Saccharomyces cerevisiae S288C: one gene and its partners. The gene in region 3 interacts genetically with the main gene of each other region. Each region holds a gene or a part of one and is shown on either strand. Other genes may lie near its edges.

Region 1 (5,819 bases), on a different chromosome or scaffold from region 3:
CGTCTACACCATGGTCTAACCAGTATCCAACGGCACTTTCGTAGATTGCCTTTCTACAGTCCTCATTCTCCCAATTCAAATCAGGTTGGGTGGAGCAAAACAAACGCAAGTAAAACTCTTGTGTCTTTTCATCGAACGTCCATGCAGAACCACCGAAGTAAGACCTCCAATTGTTTGGAGGAATTGGCTTGCCTTCGGCGTCATAACCCTTAGGAGGTCTCCAGAAGAACCAGTCACGTTTTGGATTGGTTTTTGAGGATCTGCTCTCTTTGAACCATTCATGTTCGCTCGAGCAATGGTTGATGACTAAGTCGGTGATAAATTTCATACCAAGCTTATGTGTCTTTTCGATCAAGGCAAAGCAGTCCTCGTTCGTACCGTAGGTTGGCCAGACCTTTTCGTAGTTGGCAATATCGTAACCCATATCATCTTGTGGCGAGTCGTAGAATGGTGAGATCCAAATGGCATCGGCACCAAGCTCTTTGATATACTCCAACTTGGAGGCAATACCCTTCATATCACCCCACCCATCGTTGTTGGAGTCTTTGAAACTTGCGGGATAAATTTGATAGATTGTGGCCTCTTTCCACCACTTGGGTTCTGTTTCTGGATGTGCAGAAGAAATAGTCATTGTACGTTGCTTTCTTTTCTTTATGAAAAAACTTTCACTTTTGTTTGTGTGTTTGGACTGGTGAATGGAACATATATTCTAGTACAGCTAATTCCTCGAGTGAAGAAGTCTTTCTTACTTATATATGTCTTTTACGTGCCTATGGACGTCTTACGAATGATCGAAAATAAGAAAAGAACAAAGTAAATTTAGGATCTGGAAGGAGTGCTGTATGTAAACGAAGCTTTCAGTTTTAGGTAATGTTTGCACAACCTACATGATATAACATGGTATGTTCTGCAAGAGCGTGCCTGGCCCTTGGCCCGTTATAGCAGATCATACCATCTGCAAGCAGACCCCATTATTGCACTGCCTCCGCAATCTTGCGTATACGTAGTCCCACGACAAAGTACGAAGCGTAAACTGACCTTGTTCAGTTCCCCACAAAAATTACATAACCATTTCTCCGCGGAATTACATAATCATTTCTCCGCGAAAATTACATAATCATTTCTCCGTGCGAGTTATAAGTGCTTTTCTCGTGCATCCCTTGGCACTTCACAAAACCTTCTTTTTCTTTTTTTTCTTTATTTCAGGGGAAATCAGTGCAAAACTAAAAAAGAAAGAAATTTTGTGAAATGTAAACTCCAGGTGTCAAAAAATAAATTATATCCGTGGAAAATCAGGCGTCGGAAATTGTAGATGAAACCGCCTCCTCCACAATAAATGCTGACCACACGAACAATGCATACACTCGGACACCTTCGTTCAAAGTATCAGTAGCAGTTCGACACACCGTATACTACTTAGCTCTTAAGGTCTAGGCTCATCTTTCTCAGTTCCTCTTTTTCGCTAATTAAAGGTATATAATGTCACAGTTGTGTAACTAGAGAAGAGCACACTTGTTCCTATCTTTTTCTTCTTCTTTTTTTGGTATGAGTTGAAAAAAATAATCATTGCACAATTTAGTTCTAAACGCTTTTGTTATTACTCAATATCATGTCAGGTGTTAATAATACATCCGCAAATGAGTTATCTACTACCATGTCTAACTCTAACTCAGCAGTAGGCGCTCCCTCTGTTAAGACTGAACACGGTGACTCTAAAAATTCCCTTAACCTAGATGCCAATGAGCCACCTATTGACTTACCTCAAAAACCCCTCTCTGCGTATACCACCGTCGCAATCCTGTGTTTGATGATTGCATTTGGCGGCTTCATCTTTGGTTGGGATACCGGTACCATTTCTGGTTTTGTTAACCTTTCTGATTTCATCAGAAGGTTCGGTCAAAAAAATGACAAGGGAACCTACTACTTATCGAAAGTAAGAATGGGTTTGATCGTCTCAATATTCAACATTGGCTGCGCCATAGGCGGAATTGTCTTGTCAAAAGTCGGTGATATATATGGTCGTCGTATTGGATTGATTACAGTTACTGCCATTTACGTTGTAGGCATCCTAATCCAAATAACTTCCATAAACAAGTGGTACCAATACTTCATTGGAAGAATTATTTCTGGCCTAGGAGTGGGAGGCATTGCTGTCCTTTCCCCAATGTTGATATCTGAAGTTGCTCCCAAACATATCAGAGGAACTCTGGTCCAATTGTACCAGCTGATGGGTACGATGGGTATTTTTCTAGGATACTGTACCAATTACGGTACCAAGAACTATCACAACGCCACTCAATGGAGAGTCGGCCTTGGTCTTTGCTTTGCCTGGGCTACATTCATGGTTAGTGGAATGATGTTTGTACCAGAATCACCACGTTACCTGATTGAGGTTGGTAAAGATGAGGAAGCGAAACGTTCACTATCGAAATCCAACAAAGTCTCAGTTGACGATCCAGCCTTGCTAGTTGAATATGACACTATAAAGGCAGGAATTGAACTTGAAAAGCTGGCAGGTAACGCATCATGGTCTGAACTACTCTCCACTAAAACAAAGGTCTTTCAGCGTGTTCTCATGGGAGTGATGATCCAATCGCTGCAGCAATTAACCGGTGACAACTACTTCTTTTACTACGGTACCACCATCTTCAAATCTGTCGGTCTAAAGGACTCCTTTCAGACTTCGATCATTATCGGTGTGGTTAATTTTTTCTCTTCATTCATAGCGGTATACACCATTGAGAGGTTTGGACGCCGTACGTGTCTATTGTGGGGTGCTGCTTCTATGCTATGCTGCTTTGCTGTGTTTGCCTCCGTCGGTGTGACAAAGTTGTGGCCTCAAGGAAGCAGTCACCAAGACATTACTTCTCAGGGCGCCGGTAACTGTATGATTGTGTTTACTATGTTCTTCATTTTTTCGTTCGCCACCACTTGGGCAGGCGGCTGTTACGTTATTGTCTCAGAGACGTTTCCTCTTAGGGTCAAATCAAGAGGAATGGCAATCGCAACAGCTGCAAACTGGATGTGGGGTTTCCTGATTAGTTTCTTTACCCCATTCATTACCGGGGCAATCAACTTTTACTACGGTTACGTATTCTTAGGCTGTCTGGTTTTTGCATACTTTTATGTCTTTTTCTTTGTCCCAGAAACAAAAGGCCTGACACTGGAGGAGGTGAATACTATGTGGCTGGAAGGTGTGCCAGCATGGAAATCGGCCTCATGGGTGCCACCGGAGAGAAGAACCGCAGATTACGATGCTGATGCAATAGATCATGACAATAGACCAATTTACAAGAGGTTCTTTTCCAGCTGATCTTCTAGTTTTCGGTAAATTGGTAAAAAAGCAAAAAAAAAAATTGACGAAACTAATTCTCTATTATACATAATGTTTTTACTTTTGTACCCTTTAATTTCTAATGAATGTTTTATGGAAGCTTCAATAAATGCGTGACTGGCTATAGTTGTCGGATGGCAATCCATTATTATGTATACCGTATTATTAAGAGTGCAACTAGGCCCGACTATAAATCTAACACTCAGATCCTTGTACTGTAATGCATATTTATTTTTTCACAAGTTGCATGCTAATAATACCATGATATTTTTTGAAGCCTTGAAAAATAGTTCAAGCAGCTACGATATCATGAATCAATATACTCATTGCAGCCTATGTAATATATATAGGTTCCGTGTTACCACTCGTTTCTGATATTTTCGATATGGCTACACTGGGTTTTTCATGATGGAAATGTGATACTACCAGTTCCAATATATTTATCTTCCTTATCTATATGACACGCTGTTATTTTAGTTCAAGTCAGTGTCCAATTGGGGTGAGTGTCACGTGCACAACGACGGTAGTCGTTGGATGTGCTAAATGATGTTCTACTGCCAATGACTGCAAATACGTTCGAAGAGTATAAAATCGAAGGAAACGAATTAAGTTGCCAATCCTTACTGTAACTATAGCATGTTACATATATGTACCATAAGTATCACATTAAGGTTTCGCCATAGCCATGTGCCTATATTAAATAGAAATATCACATGGCGATCCACGGAATGTTTATAGATTTTCTTCTTTTGTCTATGGCCCGGGCGAGACATTAATTTATCTTGCTGAAAAATTCGAAAGTTAAAACTCAATTATGCGTGGGATTTCTCAATTAGGTTACCAGAATTTCAATCTGCTGAAGAATTATGTCTTAAAAAAAAAAGTCCCGCCTCAAAAAAGCCAAAAAGGGTGTGACTGTAGATTGTGGGTTACTTGCTGTCAAATGACATGAAAATCTCTGCCTGCATGATCCCTGTCAAAATTCGAAAACACGCGGTCATAAAATTGTGCCTCAAAAAGATATCTTTTCCTGCGGGTTCTCTTAGTAAATGAGGTTAGGTTGTTTCCTATTCTTACGAGATTTCCCTTGTTCTCGCCGCTCACATCATTGTCGGTAAGATCTTCCGTAGTGGCAGGTCAAGCAGTGAGGAAGAAAGATCGGCAGTAAACTGATAAGAGCCAAACCGAAAAGTTTCTTATACGCAAAAACGCTTTGAAAATTCTCCAAGAATCCTATTTGAAACTCTTATTAATAAATAAAGTATAAATATAATAAAGTTTATTGTGAGACATGTCGCGATAAGCACCCCTTGTCTTTCTTGGAAGGGAGAAATTTGTAATATAAAGCCAAGTGTTCAGAACTCGATTTTTTTCTGACCAAAGAGCGGAAGCTCCACTATAAAAGTTGGGAGGTACTTTTAGGTTCTCTTAAGTTCGCATTTAATTATGGCCTGAACGATTTTACTGTGGACAATAAGTGAAATAAGTGTCCTTAAAATGTGTACGATGTGTACACATCAACCTAGTCTCCCCTTCATTGGCAGAAGAGGGAACCATTTCATCCAAAAAGAATAAAAAAAATAAAAAAAATCCAAATATTAAGCTAAAAAAATACTTAACTGTTTACACAAAGCGTATATAAAACGCATATTAAGAACCTATCTCGTTTCAGAGGAATAAACTTTTAATTCCTCAGTTAAAAAAATTAGTTAAAGAAAGCAAGAACGAAAATACCGACCAATGCATTCAAAGTATTGGCATTCAAACCTGCGGCAATACCCTCGGACTGGACAATGATACCAGTAGAGGTCTTTATTGGAGCTGCAGATTTGGAGTATGTGGAAATTGCACTAGAAGCCTTGGAAATGGCAGTAGTCAATGAGGTTGCTTTAGAACCCTCAGAAGTGACAGTAGTGTATGACTTTGGAGAAGCACTAGTTGCGGTGACGGTTGAAGTAGCTTCAGGTATTTGAGAGGTGATTATCTTGACGTTACAACCATTGTCATCACATTGAGTAACAGTGGCAGTAGTGTATGTCTTAGGGGCAGCACTGGTTTCTGAAGTTTCTGAAGTTTCTTTAGGAGCTTCAGAAGTGACAGTCTTGGTGCTACATCCATTGTCATCGCACTGAGTAACAGTAGCGGTAGTGTATGTCTTTGGAGAAACAGTAGTGGTTGTGGCTTCAGGGGCCTCAGAGGTGACAGTCTTAGTGTTACAGCCGTTGTCGTCACAGTGAGTAACGGTAACAGTAGTGTATGATTTTGGAGAAGTAGTAGTTGCTGAAGTTTCTTCAGGACATTCAGAAGTGACAGTCTTGGTGTTACAGCCATTGTTGTCACAGTGGGTGACGGTAACAGTGGTGTATGATTTGGAAGAAACGGTTTCAGTGGCGACGGTACCGGTAGACGTAGTTACATGACATCCGGTCTCATCGCAAGAAGTGATAGTGGCGGTGGTAGATGAACATGGTACGGTTGTGGTAAT
Region 2 (5,672 bases), on a different chromosome or scaffold from region 3:
AACCTTTGTATCATCACTTAAACTCTCCACTAAAGGAATATTGATACTATATAGATCTGTTTTTGGGTCCCAATTCTTAACAAGATGTTTGATAACATCTAAAGATCTCTTAGAGGCCTTCTCCATTAAAAGTGGGGAGACGTTTTTCAATCCATTAAAATAGGCCCAAGAAATAGCAATGGCCTTTGTATTTCCAGTAATAACAGATTCCATTGCGCCTCCTACGGTACCAGAAGAGGTAATATAAGCAGCAGATGTATTTCTACCAACATTTGGACCCGACAGTACTAGATCAAACGGTTCATTAGACAATAGGTGCAGCCCGATGTTTGCGCACGATGCTGGAGTTCCATCGATTAATATCCACTCAATTGTATCTTTCGGAATTTCAGCATTGAGAACATAAGGTAATTTAGAGTTTTCTGACCTAATTTGTGGCTGGATAAATGGGCCCCAAAAAGTATTGTCTTCAGCGTCAACTTTAGAATATATGAATTGAGCTGTCAAATTTTTACCAGCAAGATGAGCCTTACCCACCCATGATTTCTGGACATGAGGTACACAAACCGTGATTTTCCATTCAGGATAATTTCTTTTAATGTGCTGAATAAAAGGTCTAATGTATGGTGAAAACTGATCACTTAAGGGACCATCATCGTTAGTTATTAAAACCCGCATCTTAAAAGAAATATTTATTGTTTCCGAATTTTTAATGTCAGAGATCAAGTCAGAGCGGCTGCCTTTACCGTAATTTTCAATTGCTAAATACAATGTTCCTTGGTTATCCCATCGCCAATAATTTTTATTTTTACCACTGTTGAAGAAGCGAAAGAAAAAAAAAGGGAAAATCAAAACATTCCCTGTGCACTAATAGAAGAAAACAAGAGACTCCGTCCCTCTTTAGTGAGAAAATTGACCAGAGATGGTTTTTGTCCATCTTTTCGCAAAAAATTAGTTCTATTTTTTACACATCGGACTGATAAGTTACTACTGCACATTGGCATTAGCTAGGAGGGCATCCAAGTAATAATTGCGAGAAACGTGACCCAACTTTGTTGTAGGTCCGCTCCTTCTAATAATCGCTTGTATCTCTACATATGTTCTATTTACTGACCGAAAGTAGCTCGCTACAATAATAATGTTGACCTGATGTCAGTCCCCACGCTAATAGCGGCGTGTCGCACGCTCTCTTTACAGGACGCCGGAGACCGGCATTACAAGGATCCGAAAGTTGTATTCAACAAGAATGCGCAAATATGTCAACGTATTTGGAAGTCATCTTATGTGCGCTGCTTTAATGTTTTCTCATGTAAGCGGACGTCGTCTATAAACTTCAAACGAAGGTAAAAGGTTCATAGCGCTTTTTCTTTGTCTGCACAAAGAAATATATATTAAATTAGCACGTTTTCGCATAGAACGCAACTGCACAATGCCAAAAAAAGTAAAAGTGATTAAAAGAGTTAATTGAATAGGCAATCTCTAAATGAATCGATACAACCTTGGCACTCACACGTGGGACTAGCACAGACTAAATTTATGATTCTGGTCCCTGTTTTCGAAGAGATCGCACATGCCAAATTATCAAATTGGTCACCTTACTTGGCAAGGCATATACCCATTTGGGATAAGGGTAAACATCTTTGAATTGTCGAAATGAAACGTATATAAGCGCTGATGTTTTGCTAAGTCGAGGTTAGTATGGCTTCATCTCTCATGAGAATAAGAACAACAACAAATAGAGCAAGCAAATTCGAGATTACCAATGTTTAAATCTGTTGTTTATTCAATTTTAGCCGCTTCTTTGGCCAATGCAGGTACCATTCCCTTAGGCAAACTAGCCGATGTCGACAAGATTGGTACCCAAAAAGATATCTTCCCATTTTTGGGTGGTGCCGGACCATACTACTCTTTCCCTGGCGACTATGGTATTTCTCGTGATTTGCCTGAAGGTTGTGAAATGAAGCAACTGCAAATGGTTGGTAGACATGGTGAAAGATACCCTACTGTCAGTCTGGCTAAGACTATCAAGAGTACATGGTATAAGTTGAGCAATTACACTCGTCAATTCAACGGCTCATTGTCATTCTTGAACGATGATTACGAGTTTTTCATCCGTGATGACGATGATTTGGAAATGGAAACCACTTTTGCCAACTCGGACGATGTTTTGAACCCATACACTGGTGAAATGAACGCCAAGAGACATGCTCGTGACTTCTTGGCTCAATACGGTTACATGGTCGAAAACCAAACCAGTTTCGCCGTTTTTACCTCTAATTCTAAGAGATGTCATGACACTGCTCAATATTTCATTGATGGTTTAGGTGACCAATTCAACATCACCTTGCAGACTGTCAGTGAAGCTGAATCCGCTGGTGCCAACACTTTGAGTGCTTGTAACTCATGTCCTGCTTGGGACTACGATGCCAATGATGACATTGTAAATGAATACGACACAACCTACTTGGATGACATTGCCAAGAGATTGAACAAGGAAAACAAGGGTTTGAACTTGACCTCAACTGACGCTAGTACTTTATTCTCGTGGTGTGCATTTGAAGTGAACGCTAAAGGTTACAGTGATGTCTGTGATATTTTCACCAAGGATGAATTAGTCCATTACTCCTACTACCAAGACTTGCACACTTATTACCATGAGGGTCCAGGTTACGACATTATCAAGTCTGTCGGTTCCAACTTGTTCAATGCCTCAGTCAAATTATTAAAGCAAAGTGAGATTCAAGACCAAAAGGTTTGGTTGAGTTTTACCCACGATACCGATATCCTAAACTTTTTGACCACCGCTGGTATAATTGACGACAAAAACAACTTAACTGCCGAATACGTTCCATTCATGGGCAACACTTTCCACAGATCCTGGTACGTTCCTCAAGGTGCTCGTGTCTACACCGAAAAATTCCAATGTTCTAACGACACCTACGTCAGATACGTCATTAACGATGCTGTTGTTCCAATTGAAACCTGTTCCACTGGTCCAGGGTTCTCTTGTGAAATCAATGACTTCTACGACTATGCTGAAAAGAGAGTAGCCGGTACTGACTTCCTAAAGGTCTGTAACGTCAGCAGCGTCAGTAACTCTACTGAATTGACCTTCTACTGGGACTGGAACACTACTCATTACAACGCCAGTCTATTGAGACAATAGTTTTGTATAACTAAATAATATTGGAAACTAAATACGAATACCCAAATTTTTTATCTAAATTTTGCCGAAAGATTAAAATCTGCAGAGATATCCGAAACAGGTAAATGGATGTTTCAATCCCTGTAGTCAGTCAGGAACCCATATTATATTACAGTATTAGTCGCCGCTTAGGCACGCCTTTAATTAGCAAAATCAAACCTTAAGTGCATATGCCGTATAAGGGAAACTCAAAGAACTGGCATCGCAAAAATGAAAAAAAGGAAGAGTGAAAAAAAAAAAATTCAAAAGAAATTTACTAAATAATACCAGTTTGGGAAATAGTAAACAGCTTTGAGTAGTCCTATGCAACATATATAAGTGCTTAAATTTGCTGGATGGAAGTCAATTATGCCTTGATTATCATAAAAAAAATACTACAGTAAAGAAAGGGCCATTCCAAATTACCTATGTTTAAGTCTGTTGTTTATTCGGTTCTAGCCGCTGCTTTAGTTAATGCAGGTACAATTCCCCTCGGAGAGTTAGCCGATGTTGCCAAAATTGGCACTCAGGAAGACATATTCCCATTCCTGGGTGGTGCCGGGCCATACTTCTCTTTCCCTGGCGACTATGGTATTTCTCGTGACTTGCCTGAAGGTTGTGAAATGAAACAATTGCAAATGCTTGCCAGACATGGTGAAAGATACCCAACTTACAGTAAAGGTGCTACCATCATGAAAACATGGTATAAGTTGAGCAATTACACACGTCAATTCAACGGCTCATTGTCATTCTTGAACGATGATTACGAGTTTTTCATCCGTGATGACGATGATTTGGAAATGGAAACCACTTTTGCCAACTCAGACAATGTTTTGAATCCATACACTGGTGAGATGGATGCTAAGAGACATGCTCGTGAGTTTTTAGCGCAATATGGCTACATGTTCGAAAATCAAACCAGTTTCCCAATTTTCGCCGCTAGTTCTGAAAGGGTTCATGACACTGCTCAATATTTCATTGATGGTTTAGGTGACCAATTCAACATCTCCTTGCAGACTGTCAGTGAAGCCATGTCCGCCGGCGCAAACACTTTGAGTGCTGGTAATGCGTGCCCAGGATGGGATGAAGATGCTAACGATGACATTTTGGACAAATACGATACCACATACTTGGATGACATTGCCAAGAGATTAAACAAAGAAAACAAGGGTTTGAATTTGACCTCAAAGGACGCCAACACTTTGTTTGCATGGTGTGCATACGAATTGAACGCTAGAGGCTACAGTGATGTTTGTGATATCTTCACCGAAGATGAATTGGTACGTTACTCATACGGCCAGGACCTGGTATCGTTTTACCAGGATGGACCAGGTTATGATATGATCAGATCCGTCGGTGCCAACTTGTTTAACGCTACTTTGAAGTTGTTAAAGCAAAGTGAAACTCAAGACTTAAAAGTCTGGTTGAGTTTTACCCACGATACCGATATCCTAAACTATTTGACCACCGCTGGTATAATTGACGACAAAAACAACTTAACTGCCGAATACGTTCCATTCATGGGCAACACCTTCCATAAGTCCTGGTACGTTCCTCAAGGTGCTCGTGTCTACACCGAAAAATTCCAATGTTCTAACGACACCTACGTCAGATACGTCATTAACGATGCTGTCGTTCCAATTGAAACCTGTTCCACCGGCCCAGGGTTCTCTTGTGAAATCAATGATTTCTACGACTATGCTGAAAAGAGAGTAGCTGGTACTGACTTCCTAAAGGTCTGTAACGTCAGCAGTGTCAGTAACGTCACCGAATTGACCTTCTACTGGGACTGGAATACTACTCACTACAACGATACCCTATTAAAACAATAAATTGTATAAATAAATAATATTGCAAATATAAATAAATACCCATCGATTCTGATCTTCTTTTATGTACTAGTAGGGTAACGAGTTTGTAGATTAGCGGCAGAATGAAAAGAAAAAAGTTAACTAAAAAGTAAGAACAGCAAAGTTGATTGTAGTCTATATTGCTGAAATAGATATCGGAGCTCCCGTATAATATTAAAGTGCACCAAGAAAAGGATGTCGTTCTTTTTAAATAGTCTAAGGGGCAACCAGGAGGTCTCGCAAGAGAAGCTAGACGTTGCAGGAGTGCAATTCGATGCGATGTGCTCGACTTTCAACAATATTCTCAGTACGTGTCTTGAGAAATGTATTCCGCATGAGGGCTTTGGTGAGCCTGATCTAACGAAAGGTGAGCAATGCTGCATAGACAGATGTGTGGCAAAGATGCATTACAGCAATCGCCTCATTGGAGGATTTGTACAAACACGAGGTTTCGGGCCAGAGAATCAGCTACGACATTATTCGCGATTTGTGGCCAAAGAAATAGCTGATGATTCCAAAAAATAGCTGTAAATATGAGGACTGTCTGTGCTGTTTGTATATAATAGTAACCTGCATATATAGCATTATAAGCTGTGTAGACAATTTTAGAAGTACATTTATATGGTACCCGCACCTGG
Region 3 (7,260 bases):
TACTATGAGTAAATCTGGTGTGGATGCCCATGCCGTCGGTGGTTTATGGGTCCTGATGCTTTGTGTTTATGCTGGTTTTGTCTTGCCAATTGGTGAAATGCATCATTGGATTAGATGGCTTCATTTCATTAATCCTTTAACTTATGCTTTTGAAAGTTTAGTTTCCACTGAATTTCACCACAGGGAAATGTTGTGTAGCGCCTTAGTCCCATCTGGTCCTGGTTATGAAGGTATTTCTATTGCTAACCAAGTCTGTGATGCTGCTGGTGCGGTTAAGGGTAACTTGTATGTTAGCGGTGACTCTTACATCTTACACCAATATCATTTCGCATATAAGCATGCTTGGAGAAATTGGGGTGTGAACATTGTGTGGACTTTTGGTTATATTGTGTTCAATGTCATCTTATCAGAATATTTGAAACCTGTTGAGGGAGGAGGTGACTTGCTGTTATATAAGAGAGGTCATATGCCGGAGTTAGGTACCGAAAATGCAGATGCAAGAACCGCTTCCAGAGAGGAAATGATGGAGGCTCTGAATGGTCCAAATGTCGATTTAGAAAAGGTCATTGCAGAAAAGGACGTTTTCACCTGGAACCATCTGGACTACACCATTCCATACGACGGAGCTACAAGAAAATTATTATCGGATGTCTTTGGTTACGTTAAGCCTGGTAAGATGACCGCCTTGATGGGTGAATCCGGTGCTGGTAAAACTACCTTGTTAAATGTTTTAGCACAAAGAATCAATATGGGTGTCATCACTGGTGATATGTTAGTCAATGCCAAGCCCTTGCCTGCTTCTTTCAACAGATCATGTGGTTATGTTGCGCAAGCCGATAATCATATGGCCGAATTATCTGTTAGGGAATCCCTGAGATTTGCAGCCGAGTTAAGACAGCAAAGTTCCGTTCCGTTAGAGGAGAAATATGAATATGTTGAAAAAATTATCACATTGCTAGGTATGCAAAATTACGCTGAAGCCTTAGTTGGTAAGACTGGTAGAGGTTTGAACGTTGAACAGAGAAAGAAGTTATCTATTGGTGTTGAACTGGTTGCTAAACCATCATTATTATTGTTTTTGGATGAGCCTACCTCTGGTCTGGACTCTCAGTCTGCTTGGTCAATTGTTCAATTCATGAGAGCCTTAGCTGATTCTGGTCAATCCATTTTGTGTACGATTCATCAACCCTCTGCTACCTTGTTTGAACAGTTTGACAGATTGTTGTTGTTAAAGAAAGGTGGTAAGATGGTTTACTTTGGTGACATTGGTCCAAATTCTGAAACTTTGTTGAAGTATTTTGAACGTCAATCTGGTATGAAGTGTGGTGTTTCTGAAAATCCAGCTGAATATATTTTGAATTGTATTGGTGCCGGTGCCACTGCTAGTGTTAACTCTGATTGGCACGACTTATGGCTTGCTTCCCCAGAATGTGCCGCTGCAAGGGCTGAAGTTGAAGAATTACATCGTACTTTACCTGGTAGAGCAGTTAATGATGATCCTGAGTTAGCTACAAGATTTGCTGCCAGTTACATGACTCAAATCAAATGTGTTTTACGTAGAACAGCTCTTCAATTTTGGAGATCGCCTGTCTATATCAGGGCCAAATTCTTTGAATGTGTCGCATGTGCTTTGTTCGTCGGTTTATCATATGTTGGTGTAAATCACTCTGTTGGTGGTGCCATTGAGGCCTTTTCGTCTATTTTCATGCTATTATTGATTGCTCTGGCTATGATCAATCAACTGCACGTCTTCGCTTATGATAGTAGGGAATTATATGAGGTTAGAGAAGCCGCTTCTAACACTTTCCATTGGAGTGTCTTGTTATTATGTCATGCTGCTGTTGAAAACTTTTGGTCCACACTTTGTCAGTTTATGTGTTTCATTTGCTACTACTGGCCAGCTCAATTCAGTGGACGTGCATCTCATGCAGGTTTCTTCTTCTTCTTCTATGTTTTAATTTTCCCATTATATTTTGTCACATATGGTCTATGGATCCTGTACATGTCTCCTGATGTTCCCTCAGCTTCTATGATTAATTCCAATTTGTTTGCTGCTATGTTACTGTTCTGTGGTATTTTACAACCAAGAGAGAAAATGCCTGCCTTCTGGAGAAGATTGATGTATAATGTATCACCATTTACCTACGTGGTTCAAGCTTTGGTTACACCATTAGTTCACAATAAAAAGGTCGTTTGTAATCCTCATGAATACAACATCATGGACCCACCAAGCGGAAAAACTTGTGGTGAGTTTTTATCTACCTATATGGACAATAATACCGGTTATTTGGTAAATCCAACTGCCACCGAAAACTGTCAATATTGCCCATACACTGTTCAAGATCAAGTTGTGGCTAAATACAATGTCAAATGGGATCACAGATGGAGAAACTTTGGTTTCATGTGGGCTTATATTTGCTTCAATATTGCCGCTATGTTGATTTGTTACTATGTTGTAAGAGTTAAGGTGTGGTCTTTGAAGTCTGTTTTGAATTTCAAGAAATGGTTTAATGGGCCAAGAAAGGAAAGACATGAAAAAGATACCAACATTTTCCAAACAGTTCCAGGTGACGAAAATAAAATCACGAAGAAATAAACAAGCAAGCAAATATATTTGTATTTCGTGGTTTAACACACAATTTTTATTTTCAATTTTTTTTCACAAATTTTGGCGTCCTTTAACATCATTTTTTTAATTTTACATTTGATTTTACTTTCTATTATTATTTTCCGAAAATTTCACACTAATGTTTTATGTATAGAATCAATATAATTATTTAATATATTAATTATTAATACCATTTAAAAGAAAAGAATTTCATTTCTATCCCACTCGTGAGTAATGGCTTAAAGGCACAATTGTGTGTTCATTATATCCCTATCACCTTCAAAAGGAAGTTTGATCCTTTGACTAACATATTTGAAAGCTTCGCAGGGCAATAAAATTGAGCTCGCCTATTATCTTCCAATCCTTTTACGTTAAAAAAAATGGGGGAAAAGCAAACTGGTAACAGTACGGAATCTATCGAAAATCAAGAGAGTAACAAAGACAACCCCAACAAATGTCTGTCGCGTCTTTCGCACGTTGAATCAGAACGAAGATATGGCTTCTGTCATTCTAAAACTAACGTTTTTTGATTCAAGTCTATGCGGGGAATATTAAATATATTCATAATTCTCACTTCTTTGTTTTATAACGTCAATTCATTTGGCAAAGCAAAGAGAGGGGTTTGTAAGTAGAGAATCTGTTATTTACAAGTCTAAAGGCATGAGAATACATTACAAATCTTTAAAAAAATAGCAAATGTACATGCATATATAAATATGGATCGTAAAGGCCTATTATGCACACGAGTATTAAAGTGTTCGGCCACCAGTTCCTATTTTGCTTCCAGTGGTAACAAAATCAACGATCTTTGGTTTCTTCTTCTTCTTCAGGTACCAATGCCTGTGCCTCTTCTAGCAAATCGGCCAATTCACCAGAGCGTGCCATACTTGTAATAACATCACATCCACCAATGAATTCTTTGTTTACATATAACTGTGGAATAGTTGGCCATTCTGAAAACTCTTTGATACCTTCACGTAGCTCTGGGTCTTCTAAAACATTATAAGCCGCAAATTTGGCCGGGTCAACGCCTTGATTTCCTAATAATCCAATGGTTGCTCTTGAAAATCCACACTTGGGAAATTCAGGAGTACCTTTCATGAAAAGAACCACTGGAGCCGATTCGATGGCATCTTCAATAGCTTTTCTTATCTCTGTGCTCAAATACATCCGATTTTGGTAACGAAGAAGAGTCTTAGCCCGGAGGATGGGGGAAAATGACCTTATGGGATTGAATTTTGGGAGAAACATTGTCTGATTTCCTCAAATTTTTGCTAAAGTCAAAAAGTAAACAGATACCTTTGTGGCCTTGATATATGTGAAAAGAGTAATACAACTTCTTGTCCCTTTGGGACTAGAACGCATTTGTCATCAATACTTTATACCTTTACTTCCTAGAAGTGATTTATTTTGGTCGGGTAACGTTTTTCCAATAAGCTCAGATCAGTGCCAAATACCGGTTTAGACTCTTTACGGCACTAGTTATGCTTTATTGAATAAATTAAGCTCTGTATACTAAATTTAGAATCTCATGATTCCGTATGTAGTAAATTAACAGTTTGTACTATATTATAAAGAAGAATGAATGCATTGAACTTTTTGATCACAAGAAAAGTTGGCGTAGCAATACAACATACCTACTGTTCTCTCTTTGTTCGTGGTACCTTAATTAGTATTGTCGTAAGAAAATCTAAATGTCTTCTTTGGGCTAACTTATGATTTGCATACTTCTACAGTCGTCATAATGGACACCTTGTAATAAAAAGTGATGTGGTTCTCATCTGTTATAATAAATGGCTATGTGCGGCATTCGATGTCGTTTGAGATATTGACTACTAATGTATATTGAGATAAATCTGGCTGTTACCACAATTTGTCATTAGGTAGAAACGATAGCGCATGCTTAAAATAATTATGGATAGAAAACAGCAGTCGCGCTGTATGTAGAAAATATAAAACACATAAGTGATTCAGATCAGAACCCTCCTAAATCCCTAAAATATAGAAGTTCATTACATGGCAGTGATATATTAGAGGTTACCATCCTTTCTTAATATTGATAAGGCTACTAAATTAAGTGTTACTGGAACCTAGTTTCGCTTAATTCCTTTAGCTTTTGCATTCTATTTTTTCTTTTAATCAATCACTAATGAAGAAGCCTTAAGTCAGATAATGCCGTATCTAAGTATTCCTTTTGTAATAGCTCAATTTGTTAAAATACTCGTTCTCCTTGTGTTCTAGTGCATCAATTATCCATAATAATAAGCATATACTCGTACTGAATTATTCAATGGCCTAAATGGCAAGCACTAGCTTGCTCGAAGTTACTAACTGAACTATAAAACATTTTACTCTTTCAATTACTTTTAATTGAATCTTAAGCAGAATCAAAACTGCTTATGACTGCCATATGCTCAATGCGATGGCTCATATTTTCCATTTACATGAACCCCAGTTTATGTTCAAGTAGTATATGTTCTTAATTCAACGCAAACTGCTGATTTCACCATTGAATATTGTTTATATATGATATATACCGTCAAATTACTTCACGACAGTGTGAACTGTGATAAATCACTTGTTCCAACAAAATCCAGTACATTGGGTATTCGATCGCAGGCAATTATATTAATCGGGTATGCTAATATGGATTAGAGCCGTAGAAGCAGAACAAGGAGAATTACTTAATATTTGAAGTTCATTTAATATTCTTTGATTGTTGGAACGAGAGTAATTAATAGTGACATGAGTTGCTATGGTAACAATCTAATGCTTACATCGTATATTAATGTACAACTCGTATACGTTTAAGTGTGATTGCGCCTATTGCAGAAGGAATGTTAAACGAGAAGCTCAGACAATACTGAAGCTGTGTTAAAGACCTATTAGTTGAACATGATATGGTAGGTACATATATGAGGAATATGAGTCGTCACATCAATGTATAGTAACTACCGGAACCACTATTATATTGGTCATGATTAATATGACCAATCGGCGTGTGTTTTATATACCTCTCTTATTTAGTATAAGAAGATCAGTACTCACTTCTTCATTAATACTAATTTTTTACCTCTAATTATCAACATGGCGACCCCAGTGAGGGATGAAACAAGAAATGTTATTGACGACAACATTTCTGCGCGGATTCAATCGAAAGTCAAAACAAATGATACTGTCAGACAGACGCCATCATCATTAAGAAAAGTTTCTATTAAAGATGAACAGGTGAAACAATATCAAAGAAACTTAAATAGGTTTAAAACCATACTAAATGGTTTAAAGGCAGAAGAGGAAAAACTTTCTGAGACTGATGATATTCAGATGCTAGCTGAAAAATTATTAAAACTCGGAGAAACCATTGACAAGGTTGAGAATAGGATTGTGGATCTAGTTGAAAAGATACAATTATTGGAAACAAACGAGAACAATAATATATTACATGAACATATAGATGCTACAGGGACTTACTATTTATTCGATACGTTAACTTCAACCAACAAAAGATTCTACCCTAAGGATTGTGTTTTTGATTATAGGACTAATAATGTCGAGAACATTCCTATTCTCTTAAACAATTTTAAAAAATTCATCAAGAAATATCAATTTGATGATGTCTTTGAAAATGATATCATAGAAATCGATCCTCGTGAAAATGAAATCTTGTGCAAGATAATCAAAGAAGGACTCGGTGAAAGTTTAGATATCATGAACACAAATACAACTGACATTTTTAGGATAATCGATGGTTTAAAAAACAAATATAGAAGTTTACATGGTAGAGATGTCAGAATTAGAGCCTGGGAAAAGGTTTTGGTTGATACAACATGTAGAAATTCCGCATTGTTAATGAATAAACTTCAAAAGTTGGTACTAATGGAAAAATGGATTTTTTCTAAATGCTGCCAAGATTGTCCTAATCTAAAGGATTACCTACAAGAAGCTATCATGGGAACCTTACATGAATCCTTAAGAAATTCTGTGAAACAACGTTTGTACAACATTCCACATAACGTAGGAATTAATCACGAAGAATTTCTAATCAATACTGTTATTGAAACAGTAATTGATTTGAGCCCAATTGCAGACGATCAAATAGAAAATAGCTGCATGTATTGCAAATCTGTTTTCCATTGCTCAATTAACTGCAAAAAGAAACCAAATAGGGAACTTAGGCCTGACTCGACCAATTTCTCAAAAACCTATTATCTACAAGGTGCACAGAGACAACAACAACTTAAGTCCAGTGCAAAAGAACAAAAGTCTTGGAACAAGACACAAAAAAAGTCAAACAAAGTGTACAACAGCAAAAAACTGGTAATTATTGATACCGGTTCCGGCGTAAACATTACCAATGACAAAACCTTACTGCATAATTACGAAGACAGTAATCGCAGTACACGATTTTTTGGTATTGGGAAAAACAGTTCAGTGTCTGTTAAAGGGTATGGCTATATAAAAATCAAGAATGGTCACAACAATACTGACAATAAGTGTTTATTGACTTACTATGTACCGGAAGAAGAATCCACTATAATCAGCTGTTATGACTTAGCCAAGAAAACCAAAATGGTTTTAAGTCGAAAATATACCAGATTGGGAAACAAAATCATAAAAATTAAAACCAAGATAGTTAATGGTGTCATTCACGT

The links.
Region 1: mutations in GRX5 (region 3) and HXT11 together harm fitness less than expected from each alone (positive genetic interaction), as found in Saccharomyces cerevisiae (one large-scale study listed by BioGRID).
Region 2: mutations in GRX5 (region 3) and PHO5 together harm fitness less than expected from each alone (positive genetic interaction), as found in Saccharomyces cerevisiae (one large-scale study listed by BioGRID).

What each region holds. Positions count from the first base shown.
Region 1 is NC_001147.6:23,664-29,482, forward strand, and holds HXT11 (hexose transporter HXT11), read left to right. Parts: upstream 1-1,609; coding exon 1,610-3,313; downstream 3,314-5,819. Other genes in the region: oligo-1,6-glucosidase IMA2, read right to left, coding at 1-631; YOL155W-A (uncharacterized protein), read left to right, coding at 3,421-3,555; HPF1 (mannoprotein), read right to left, coding at 5,040-5,819. UniProt on the Saccharomyces cerevisiae protein: Probable glucose transporter.
Region 2 is NC_001134.8:427,042-432,713, reverse strand, and holds PHO5 (acid phosphatase PHO5), read left to right. Parts: upstream 1-1,762; coding exon 1,763-3,166; downstream 3,167-5,672. Other genes in the region: PBY1 (putative tubulin tyrosine ligase), read right to left, coding at 1-678; acid phosphatase PHO3, read left to right, coding at 3,613-5,016; TIM12 (Tim12p), read left to right, coding at 5,230-5,559; YBR090C (uncharacterized protein), read left to right, coding at 5,656-5,672. UniProt on the Saccharomyces cerevisiae protein: Partially mediates extracellular nucleotide derived phosphate hydrolysis along with NPP1 and NPP2.
Region 3 is NC_001148.4:441,178-448,437, reverse strand, and holds GRX5 (monothiol glutaredoxin GRX5), read right to left. Parts: upstream 3,860-7,260; coding exon 3,407-3,859; downstream 1-3,406. Other genes in the region: ATP-binding cassette multidrug transporter PDR12, read left to right, coding at 1-2,596. UniProt on the Saccharomyces cerevisiae protein: Monothiol glutaredoxin involved in mitochondrial iron-sulfur (Fe/S) cluster transfer. Receives 2Fe/2S clusters from scaffold protein ISU1 and mediates their transfer to apoproteins, to the 4Fe/FS cluster biosynthesis machinery, or export from mitochondrion.